2 linked regions of the Macaca mulatta genome follow. The protein of the gene in region 2 binds, or shares a complex with, the protein of the main gene of each other region. Links are inferred from orthologs where the notes say so. Each region holds a gene or a part of one and is shown on either strand. Other genes may lie near its edges.

What was found.
Region 1: the proteins of IRGQ (region 2) and GABARAPL2 are in contact, whole or in part, in a crystal structure (PDB 8Q6Q), measured with the Homo sapiens proteins. The link is inferred for Macaca mulatta from reciprocal best matches to the Homo sapiens genes IRGQ and GABARAPL2. Residues at the interface, in NP_001007562.1 of Homo sapiens: Asp7, Thr9, Leu11, Pro47, Leu49, Phe57, Pro70, Trp71, Glu74, Pro181, Ala182, Gln183, Asp184, Gly185, Phe186, Glu187, Val188, Leu189; in NP_009216.1 of Homo sapiens: Ser10, Glu12, His13, Cys15, Val16, Glu17, Ala19, Lys20, Ile21, Ala23, Lys24, Tyr25, Arg28, Pro30, Lys46, Lys48, Tyr49, Leu50, Val51, Pro52, Phe60, Ile63, Arg67, Phe104.

The regions. Positions count from the first base shown.
Region 1 is NC_133425.1:70,918,682-70,923,179, forward strand, and holds the start of GABARAPL2 (gamma-aminobutyric acid receptor-associated protein-like 2), read left to right. Parts: upstream 1-1,638; 5' UTR 1,639-1,762; coding exon 1,763-1,796; intron 1,797-2,126; coding exon 2,127-2,182; coding exon of another isoform or gene 2,183-2,240; intron 2,241-3,291; coding exon of another isoform or gene 3,292-3,316; coding exon 3,317-3,489; intron 3,490-4,498. UniProt on the Homo sapiens protein: Ubiquitin-like modifier involved in intra-Golgi traffic. Modulates intra-Golgi transport through coupling between NSF activity and SNAREs activation. It first stimulates the ATPase activity of NSF which in turn stimulates the association with GOSR1.
Region 2 is NC_133424.1:56,009,961-56,014,503, reverse strand, and holds the start of IRGQ (immunity-related GTPase family Q protein), read left to right. Parts: upstream 1-1,514; 5' UTR 1,515-1,555; intron 1,556-2,198; 5' UTR 2,199-2,200; coding exon 2,201-2,730; intron 2,731-4,163; coding exon 4,164-4,543. Other genes in the region: ZNF576 (zinc finger protein 576), read right to left, coding at 352-436. UniProt on the Homo sapiens protein: Autophagy receptor that specifically promotes clearance of misfolded MHC class I molecules by targeting them to the lysosome for degradation.

The sequences.
Region 1 (4,498 bases), on a different chromosome or scaffold from region 2:
TACAAAAATTAGCTGGGTGTGGTGGTGAGTCCCTGTAGTCCCAGTTACTCGGGAGGCTGAGGCAGGAGAATCGCTTGAACCCAGGAGGCAGACTGTAGTGAGCTGAGATTGTGCCACTGAACTCCAGCCTGGGTGACAGAGCAAGACTCTGTCTCAAAAAACAAAAACAAAAACAAAGAAGCAAACAAAAAAACTGTTCTAGTTGCTCAGACACACAGTTTTAAAATAACAAAAATACTTTTAGAATGAAGCTAGATTCCACAGCATCAATCAGGAATTTCCAGTGTAGGAAATGATGAACTACCATGTTCAAACATACAGGCTTTACAGGTGCATCAGAATCACAAGCACGTGGCAGAGTTCATGTGTCCAATTAAGTGAACATTCTTGCTACATGTTCAGCAGCTTATAAACAGATGGTGACCCACACCAGACTGCCTTGATGACTCTGCTTGGAAAAAAGGCATTACGTCACTGACTGGAGAATCTCAAAGCATATGTCCGGGCAGGTGACACACACATAGCTCAGGCTGTGATTGCTAAACCACTTCCACAGCCAAACGAGGAAAACCATCTCATGACCAGCTCTCAGGGGAATTCTCCGAATCTGACAGTCACCTCTAACTCCTCTGCCAGCTAAGATTAAGGGGTCTGTGATCAGTGATGTTACACTCCTCAAATGTGCATTTTTTTTTTTTTGAGGCAGAGTCTTGCTCTGTTGCCCAGGCTGGAGTGCAGTGGTGTGATCTTGGCTCACTGCAACCTCCACCTCTGTGGTTCAAATGATTCTCCTGCCTCAGCCTCCCGAGGAGCTGGGACTACAGGCGCCCGCCACCATGCCTGGCTAATTTTTGGGGTTTCACTACGTTGGCCAGGTTGGTCTCCAATTCCTGACCTCAGGTGATCCACCCGCGTCGGCCTCCCAAAGTGTTGGGATTACAGGCGTGAGCTACCGCGCCCCGCCTCAAATGTGCATTTGTGATACCTTTTCGTAAATGTTTATTCAAATATTTATTCACGAATAAAGCAAGAAAATGGGATTTGTTTAAATTCAATTTCTAGGTCCAAGGCAACCTATTACAGCTGTCCCTAATACTGTACCTCCGGGTTGTCCTCAGTGCCACCTCCTACAGTGTCCTCAAACACCACCCCTACCATACTGAGCCCCCAATCTGTCACCCCTCCGAGCAATACTCCCCAACTTTCAACGCCCTAAACAGCTCCTTTGTTATCGCCAAGCACTAGAAACCCCTCATGTCATTCTTACCCCTAAAGACCGTTCTTGTCACCAATTCCCCATTCAGACTTTCCCTATGAACCGCTCTAAGCGCTCTCAACTATCAGCCACACCCCCAAACAGCCCTCAGTAAGAGCCCTACACTATCAGCCAGACGTTTCCCGCCACCAACGCTCCCGAGACCCCACTCCTGTCACCAGTTCCCCGAACATTCCTTCCTGGGGTCGCAGATGCTGCTCACAGATGTCCCCGTAACCAACTTCATCACCTCCGTAGCCTAGGATCCTCCGAGGGGGCCATCCGCTGCCCCGCCCCTTTACTTGCGGCCCGGCCCCTTGGCGCGGCGTCCTGGCAAATAGCGCCGGAAGCCCCGCCCCCGACCGGTTGCTAGGCTCCGACAGCCGGAAGTCCCGCCTGCCGTGTAGTCGCCGCCGTCGCTACCGCTGCTGCCGTCGTTGTTGTTGTGGTCGGTGCGCTGAGCTCCGCGGCTCCGAGAGCCGGTTCCGTCCCTTTCCCGCCGCCGCCATGAAGTGGATGTTCAAGGAGGACCACTCGCTGGGTAAGCACTTGGCCGTCGGCCGGGCTGCTGGTGGCCGGGGCGGCGGGTGGGCCCCCTCCCCCACTGTGGCGGCCCTGGTTCGGGTGGAGTGGGGCGGATGCCCTGCTCCGGTCTCGAGTCGCCCAGGCCCTGGTGCCTGGGGCAGCCGCCTCCTGACCCCGTGTCACCCTCCGCGGGCCCTGCTGGGAGCAGTAGGGGACAGGACCGCGGCCGCAGGGACGCCGGAACCAGGGCCTGGGCTGTGCGCAGGGCGCAGGAGGAGGAGGGCCGGGGGCCGGAAACCGACCGGGGGGCAGGCGCAGCCGTCAGCCCTGTTTGTTTCTCCCACAGAACACAGATGCGTGGAGTCCGCGAAGATTCGAGCGAAATATCCCGACAGGGTTCCGGTGAGTGTTTGGACTCTCCGCCCCCTCACCTCGCTGTCACCTCTGTCGTCTGGGACCCGTAATAGGCCCCAGGCCATTCAACAGTTGACAAGTTGAGATTCCAGTCCCAGTTAATAGTAACTGACAGGCCAGACCGGGATGAGGCGTTCCAGGGCCGGGGTGTGAGGGGCTCGGGCTGGTGCTGTTCAGGGTGCCTCAGTGCTGAATCTCCCGATCTAGGCCAGCGAGCCGTCTGCAGCCTCGGGGCTCCCTGGCCAATTATGTAAGGAACGATGTTCTAGGACAGGGCAACAGGTCACTGCCACTTTTGGGAATGGTGGTGGAGCGAGACTGTCACTTTGGTCTTGGAAGTGGTACTTGAGTCTCAGGACGTTCATCTTTTACTTTGAGCCTCCATCTTTACCTAACTTCTAGCTCCGTTACCTCACCTTGACCCTGTCATCCTTGCCTGACCAAAATAATGTGAAAAGCGCTGAAAACCCTTCTGCCATGTTTTCTTCTTAGTCAATAATAAATATGATGTTATATTTCTTTCATGGTTGGGGAGACAGTTTTGTAATCCTTATTAATTTTTAATGGACATTAAGGCCTGTTATTGTAGCTCTTTGCTTGTGAATAATTCGTCTCAGGAAAGGAGTAGGAGGGACGGATTTGAAACTTGTTCAGAGAGGAGCAACAGGCCAAATGAAGAGCTTGGTTCTTGACTGGCTGAAATTCCAGGCATTCCCATTAGTCCATCCGTTCTTGTCTCCTGTGTTCCTTGGGAACACAGTAGTGTTTCTTGTAGTGTGAAGGTGGATCCATTCTGGGGTCCTAGAGTAACGGACCATGGATGAAATCCTCCCCAGATACTCTTAGGTCTGCCCAGATAAAATGTGGAAAAGCTTAGTAGTAAGGGCTGCATTTCTCTTACATAATTGACCACAGAAAAGCACTTACCGTTTCCCTATAACACATTTATATCAATTCTTAACCTCCAGAGCGTGTGGTTTATTAAGCCAAAGACATATTTTCTCCTGCTATGCAGTTTCCCACCCACCTCCTTGCCCACACTCTGTTCGTCAGCTCCTCAGCCATGTGAGGCCAGAGCCTCCCTTTAGGAAACGCAGTCCTGACCTCTCTTTACTTTCCCAGGTGATTGTGGAAAAGGTCTCAGGCTCTCAGATTGTTGACATTGACAAACGGAAGTACTTGGTTCCATCTGATATCACTGTGGCTCAGTTCATGTGGATCATCAGGAAAAGGATCCAGCTTCCTTCTGAAAAGGCGATCTTCCTGTTTGTGGATAAGACAGTCCCACAGTCCAGGTGAGAGGTGTTTACTAGATGGGCCCTCTGGTATTAGACATCTGGTTGGCTGCTTATGAAACTCCAAACCTTTGGAAGTCTGAAAACTCTTAGGGGTCCTGACTAGAAATCTGTATTTTGTGCTCCCTGACATCAGGGGCTCCAGGAAAATAATGGCTGCAATACATAAGAGTGCATTTTGGATTCACAAAATAGAACAAGGCCTGGACTTTAAAAAAAATGATGAAACTCAGCCTAACATCTCCAAGAATCTTTTAAAACAGTTGAGAACTTATTTAGGCTTAAGCTATAGGTAGAACTGAGGCCTGAAATGAGGTTTTCTTTCCCGAAGGCAGTCCTGGCACGCTCCTCCACTGGGAGCCTGTGGGCCCTGCTGAGGCTCACTCAGTTAATCATCCAGTTTGCTTGCTTCCAAACTTGGTCAACTCTTTGACATTGTAAGTGTCTATAGTTGCCTGATCCTCAAGTCTGACAAAATGACTGCTGCACAGTAAAGGGCTCTGAAGTCTTTTTATAGACTCATACCTCCCTTGGTAGCACCTGCTTTGACTGTCAGACTATTGTGCTGCCTGGAAGCAATCTTTGGGACTGTAACTTGTGGCCTGAATGTAGGCAGAGGCATTAGAATTCCCCTTTTCTGTGTATTTGATAGCCCAGCTTTAGTCCCCTGTGGAAAGAGGAAAATGGAGGGGCTCCGTCTGACATCCTAGTCAGTCCTTTCCCATTACTGAGTGGGTAGTTTTAGGCCCTGATCCAGATTCTGGCCCCCACCTCTCCCCTGAGTGTGAGTTCCTGGCCACATCTTATCTTAGTGACCCAATGTAGGTTTCATATACCACCCCCAGAAGTAATACTTCTAAAAGTGAAGGCTTTCAGAAGCCCTGGAAACTAGCCCAATGTTGCCCACATAGGTTCCTGTTGAAAATCCTTGAAGTCTCCAGAAGAGGCCTCTGCCAAATTCCAGTTACTTACTTCTGTTAAAGGTGGAAAGCTCTGGCTATTTTTTGGT
Region 2 (4,543 bases):
GTTACACTGAAAGTCTAGGACACAGGTGGGACCAGAATCTTGGGGCTTTTCTCCCAATAGAACCATTCCCAGCCACGTCTCCAACCCAAGCCTCTCTTGGAAGCCACCCTATCCCTCTGAATGCATAAGCGTTGCAATCCTGCTTATGTGGCCAGAGGAGGGTGAGTACTCTGGCCACATAAGCCGGTGTGAGGAGATGCACTTCCTGCTAGGGCAGCTCAGGGACCATTACAGCCCCTTCTCAACAGGCAAAACTCTGTGGCGCCTTGGACACTGAAGTGCCACAGAGATCTTCTTAGCATCAGCTCCTGCACCCCGCCCTCCTCTAGCCAGCCAGCCATGTGTACTCACAGATGTTGCCTCCTGGGCTCTGGGGACTTCTCTCCTTGGGTGAATCCTGCTGCTTCATGTTCTCTTCAGAGTTCGGGTCCTCCATGGTGCTGGGACCCTTCTAGTCAGGAGAGGAGCGTGCATGAGTGAAGCTGTTCATCTGTTACCAGTCTTAGAGGGCACCCTAAGTCTATGACCTTTGACATCGCCATAGGCTCTCCTTGCCTGCTTTTGACCCTTACGACATACTATCTCCTTGAACTCTAATTGATGGAGTTCTTGCTAAGAGAAGCTTCAAACCTCCCAAAAGACTTCCTGGGTTTGGGACTCAAGAGTCTTTTCACTGGTGTGACCTATGACCTGCTGCATCAAACTAACTCCCTGAACTCAGCGTGGGAGTCTTGATCTTTGACACCAGCGTCATCCCAGTCTCAAGTATCTTGGGGCAGGTAGTGATACCCACCCTTTATTCCAGTTCTTCCCGGGAAACATCCTCTGACATCCTGTGATTTTTGTTCCGCCCAGAGCCCCCGCCTCCCACGCGCACTAGCAGCTGCTATCCCGCTACCCTCAAGCGCTGCCTACAGGTTCCTGCTCCCAGGCCTCAGTTTTCCTCCGTACAGCAGAGGGCTGCCTTTCGCTGCGCCTGTCAGTCGCTAGCTACAGCCCCGCCACCCAGAGAGAAGTGGGATAGCCCACTCAGTCTCAGGGCCCCCGTGGTTTCCGCGCCCTTTTGCCAGATGAGCCTCTCGGAGCCGAGATCCCGGATTTGGCATCCGGCAGTAGTATAGTCGCACCAGTCCGGTCCTCAAAATAACGGGAGGGGTCCTTCTCTGCACTATGGTGCGTTATGATGACGTTCACCCTCCCGCGGCGTAGGTACCGAAGCTTTTTGCGCAAGTCTGGGTAGGTGCTCGTGGTGCGCAGGCGCGTTGACTCCTTCATTGTTCGAGGCCCCGAGGCCGCCGAACAGGGGCGTGAGCACTTCGGCCGTTCTGCGCAGGCGCTGCGAAGGGCTAGGTCTCTGCGGTAGCGCTTCCAAGACACACCCCCTTGGAAGAGGGAGTGACGTCAGGTTAAAGCTACTGGGACGCGTCCCGGCATCTTTAAATCACCGCGCCCTGGCCTCTTCGGCCTCCGTCCGCTGCGGCCGAGGGGTCGGGCTTCTCAGTTGCTGACCCACCGCCACCGACTGCGCTCATCCCGTGGGTCTGCTTTTTGCTCGGTTTGTGATGTGGAAGGGGGAAGGGGAAGGATAAAAATAACAATGCGTCCGAGGGAGGAGGGACTGGAAGCCAGATTTCTGAGGTTTTATTTTTATTTATTTATTTTTGAGAGAGTGTCTTGCTCTGTCGCCTGGGCTGGAGTGCGGTGGTGTGATCACTGCCCACTGCAGCCTGCAACTCCTGGGCTCAAGCGATCCTACCGCCGCAGCCTTCCGGGTAGCTGGGGCTACCGGCGCACGCCACCATGGCCCGGCTAAATTTTATTTTTTGTGGAGACGGAGACTCTACCAGAGAGTCCCACATGTTGGCCAGGCTGGTCTCGAATTCCTGGCCTCAAGCGATCCTCCCGCCTCGGCCTCCCAAAGCACTGGGATTACAGGCATGAGCCACCGCGCCTGATTTCAGAGTTTTTGAAGCAGAAAGGGAAACGTTTCCATCTAGAAAGAGGGCGGACAGACAGGGCGCCTGGAATCCCTGGGGAATAGGGTCTGGGCTCTGGATTTTTTAGGTCCTGGAGAGAGACACTCAAGAACCGAAGGGGACCGGGGGGAGGACTGAGGCCTTTGTTCCGAGTGGGGCGGCTAGGAAAGGAAAAGGCTAGGTGCTCCCTGACCCAGGTCTTCTCCACCCGTTGCTTTCCAGCCATGCCTCCGCCGCAGGGTGACGTGACCGCCTTGTTCCTGGGGCCTCCTGGCTTGGGGAAGTCCGCGCTGATCGCGGCGCTGTGCGACAAGGATGTGGAGACGCTCGAGGCCCCCGAGGGACGGCCGGACTCCGGGGTTCCCAGCCTAAGAGCTGCGGGCCCAGGCCTTTTTCTGGGCGAGCTGAGCTGCCCACCTGCAACGCCGGGGCCCTGGGCGGCTGAAGCCAACGTGCTGGTACTGGTGCTGCCCGGACCCGAGGGGAACGGGGAACCCTTGGCTGCAGCCCTGGGAGAGGCAGCGCGGGCCGCCCTGGCCCGAGGGACCCCGCTACTGGCTGTGCGGAACCTCCGTCCTGGGGATTCACAGACTGCGGCCCAGGCCCGTGATCAGACAGCAGCTCTGCTGAACAGCGCGGGGTTGGGAGCTGCGGATCTGTTTGTGCTACCGGCGAACTGCGGCAGCAGCGACGGCTGCGAGGAGCTAGAGCGCCTCCGGGCGGCGCTGCAGAGCCAGGCAGAAGCGCTGCGGAGGTGAGTGCTTTCTGGCTTGGTCCCTTAGTTGAGACCCTGCACACCTAGGTCCTATTTGAGATCCATGAGATCCCTTCCCCAGTGAGTTTGGGGCAAAAGCTTAGCTCTATTATTATTATTTTTTTCCCAAGGGACAGGGTCTCGCTACGTTGACTAGGTTGAATTTGAACTCCTGGCCTTAAGCAATAATCCCGCCTCAGCTTCCCAAAGTGCTAGGATTACAGGCGTGAACCACCACACCCGGCCTTTTTTTTTTTTTGAGACAGGGTCTCACTCTATCGCCCAGGCTGGAGTGCAGTGCTGCTATCCTAGCTCACTGAGGGCCTCCACCTCCTGGACTCAAATGATCCTCCTGCCTCAGCCTCCAGAGTAGCTAATAGGACAGGCTGCAAAACAGGATCTCACTGTTTCCCCAGGCTGGTCTTAAATTCTTGGCCTCAAGCCATGCCCCCACCCAGGCTTCCCAAAGCCCTAGGATTAAAAGGGAAAATCTTAACACTTTATCTGCTGGGGCCCTGAGGCTCCTTTTTCTAGGCCCTGCCCCAAGCAAGGTGATCCGCCCTCCCTGGCCTCCCAAAGTGCTGGGATTATAGGCGTGAGGCACTTTGCCCAGCCCCCTGGAAGATTTTACCTGAAAACTCTAATCCTTGAGCCCTCCCCACCATCAGTTTGGTTTTCAAGTGACCTAAAGCCACACCAGCAATGAGGATCTTGGGGCATCCTCATCCACCTCCTTTCTCCAGCTCCCTCTCGTTTCTGTGCCCACTTGCTGGCTACCTCCTGAATTTGCTCTACCACCTGCCAGCCTCCTCATTTTACAGACTTTAAAATGAGGCTCAGAGAGGGACAGTCCCTTGTCCTAGTACACTATCATCTTTTTTCCTTAGCCTCACCTGGTGGGGAGTCACCTTAGCCACTCCCCCTTGGTAAGAACTAGTAGATGAAATTTCTCCCCTCACTGACCCTCCTTAGGCCCAGCCTCTGAAAAGAGTGCCTTGGCGACCTTGTCTGTCTCAAATAGTGCTGGACTTGTGTTTAGGCCACAATACAGTTGCGATTCTTTGTTCTAGGCCCCACCTTCTCTGAGTTTTGTCCCACCCAGCACAGCCGACCCTTGGAAAAGCCCCGCCCCCAAATACTGTATTCCATGGAAGTCTTAGCCCAATCCCCATTTTAGGCTAGAGTGGGAAACCTGCCCTTAAGTCCACCTGTTCAATAATCAAGACTCCATTATTGCTTGAAGCCCCGCCCATATCATCATGGCCCCTCCCCATCTGGTTTCTGTTTGCCTTGCCGTCAGTCTGGCCTTTCCCTTTCCTATCCCTGCCCCATTCTGGGATCATTAGGAAAGCTCCGCCCTTGTCATTCATAGCCCAGTCCATGTCACCCAGCCCCTCTTCTGCCTTTGACCCTGACCCTTCTTGTCCCCACAGGCTCCTGCCCCCGGCCCAGGATGGCTTCGAGGTGCTGGGTGCAGCAGAGCTGGAGGCTGTGCGTGAGGCCTTTGAGACCGGCGGCCTGGAGGCTGCGCTGTCGTGGGTGCGCTCAGGCCTGGAGCGCCTGGGCAGCGCACGGCTAGACTTGGCCGTGGCCGGCAAGGCTGACGTGGGCCTTGTGGTGGACATGCTGCTTGGATTGGATCCTGGCGACCCAGGTGCTGCGCCTGCTTCGGCGCCCACGGGGCCCACTCCCTTCCCGGCCCCAGAGCGCCCGAATGTGGTGCTCTGGACTGTGCCTCTGGGTCCCACGGGCACTGCCACCACCGCGGCCGCAGCCTCTCACCCAACGCACTACGACGCCCTCATCCTCGTCA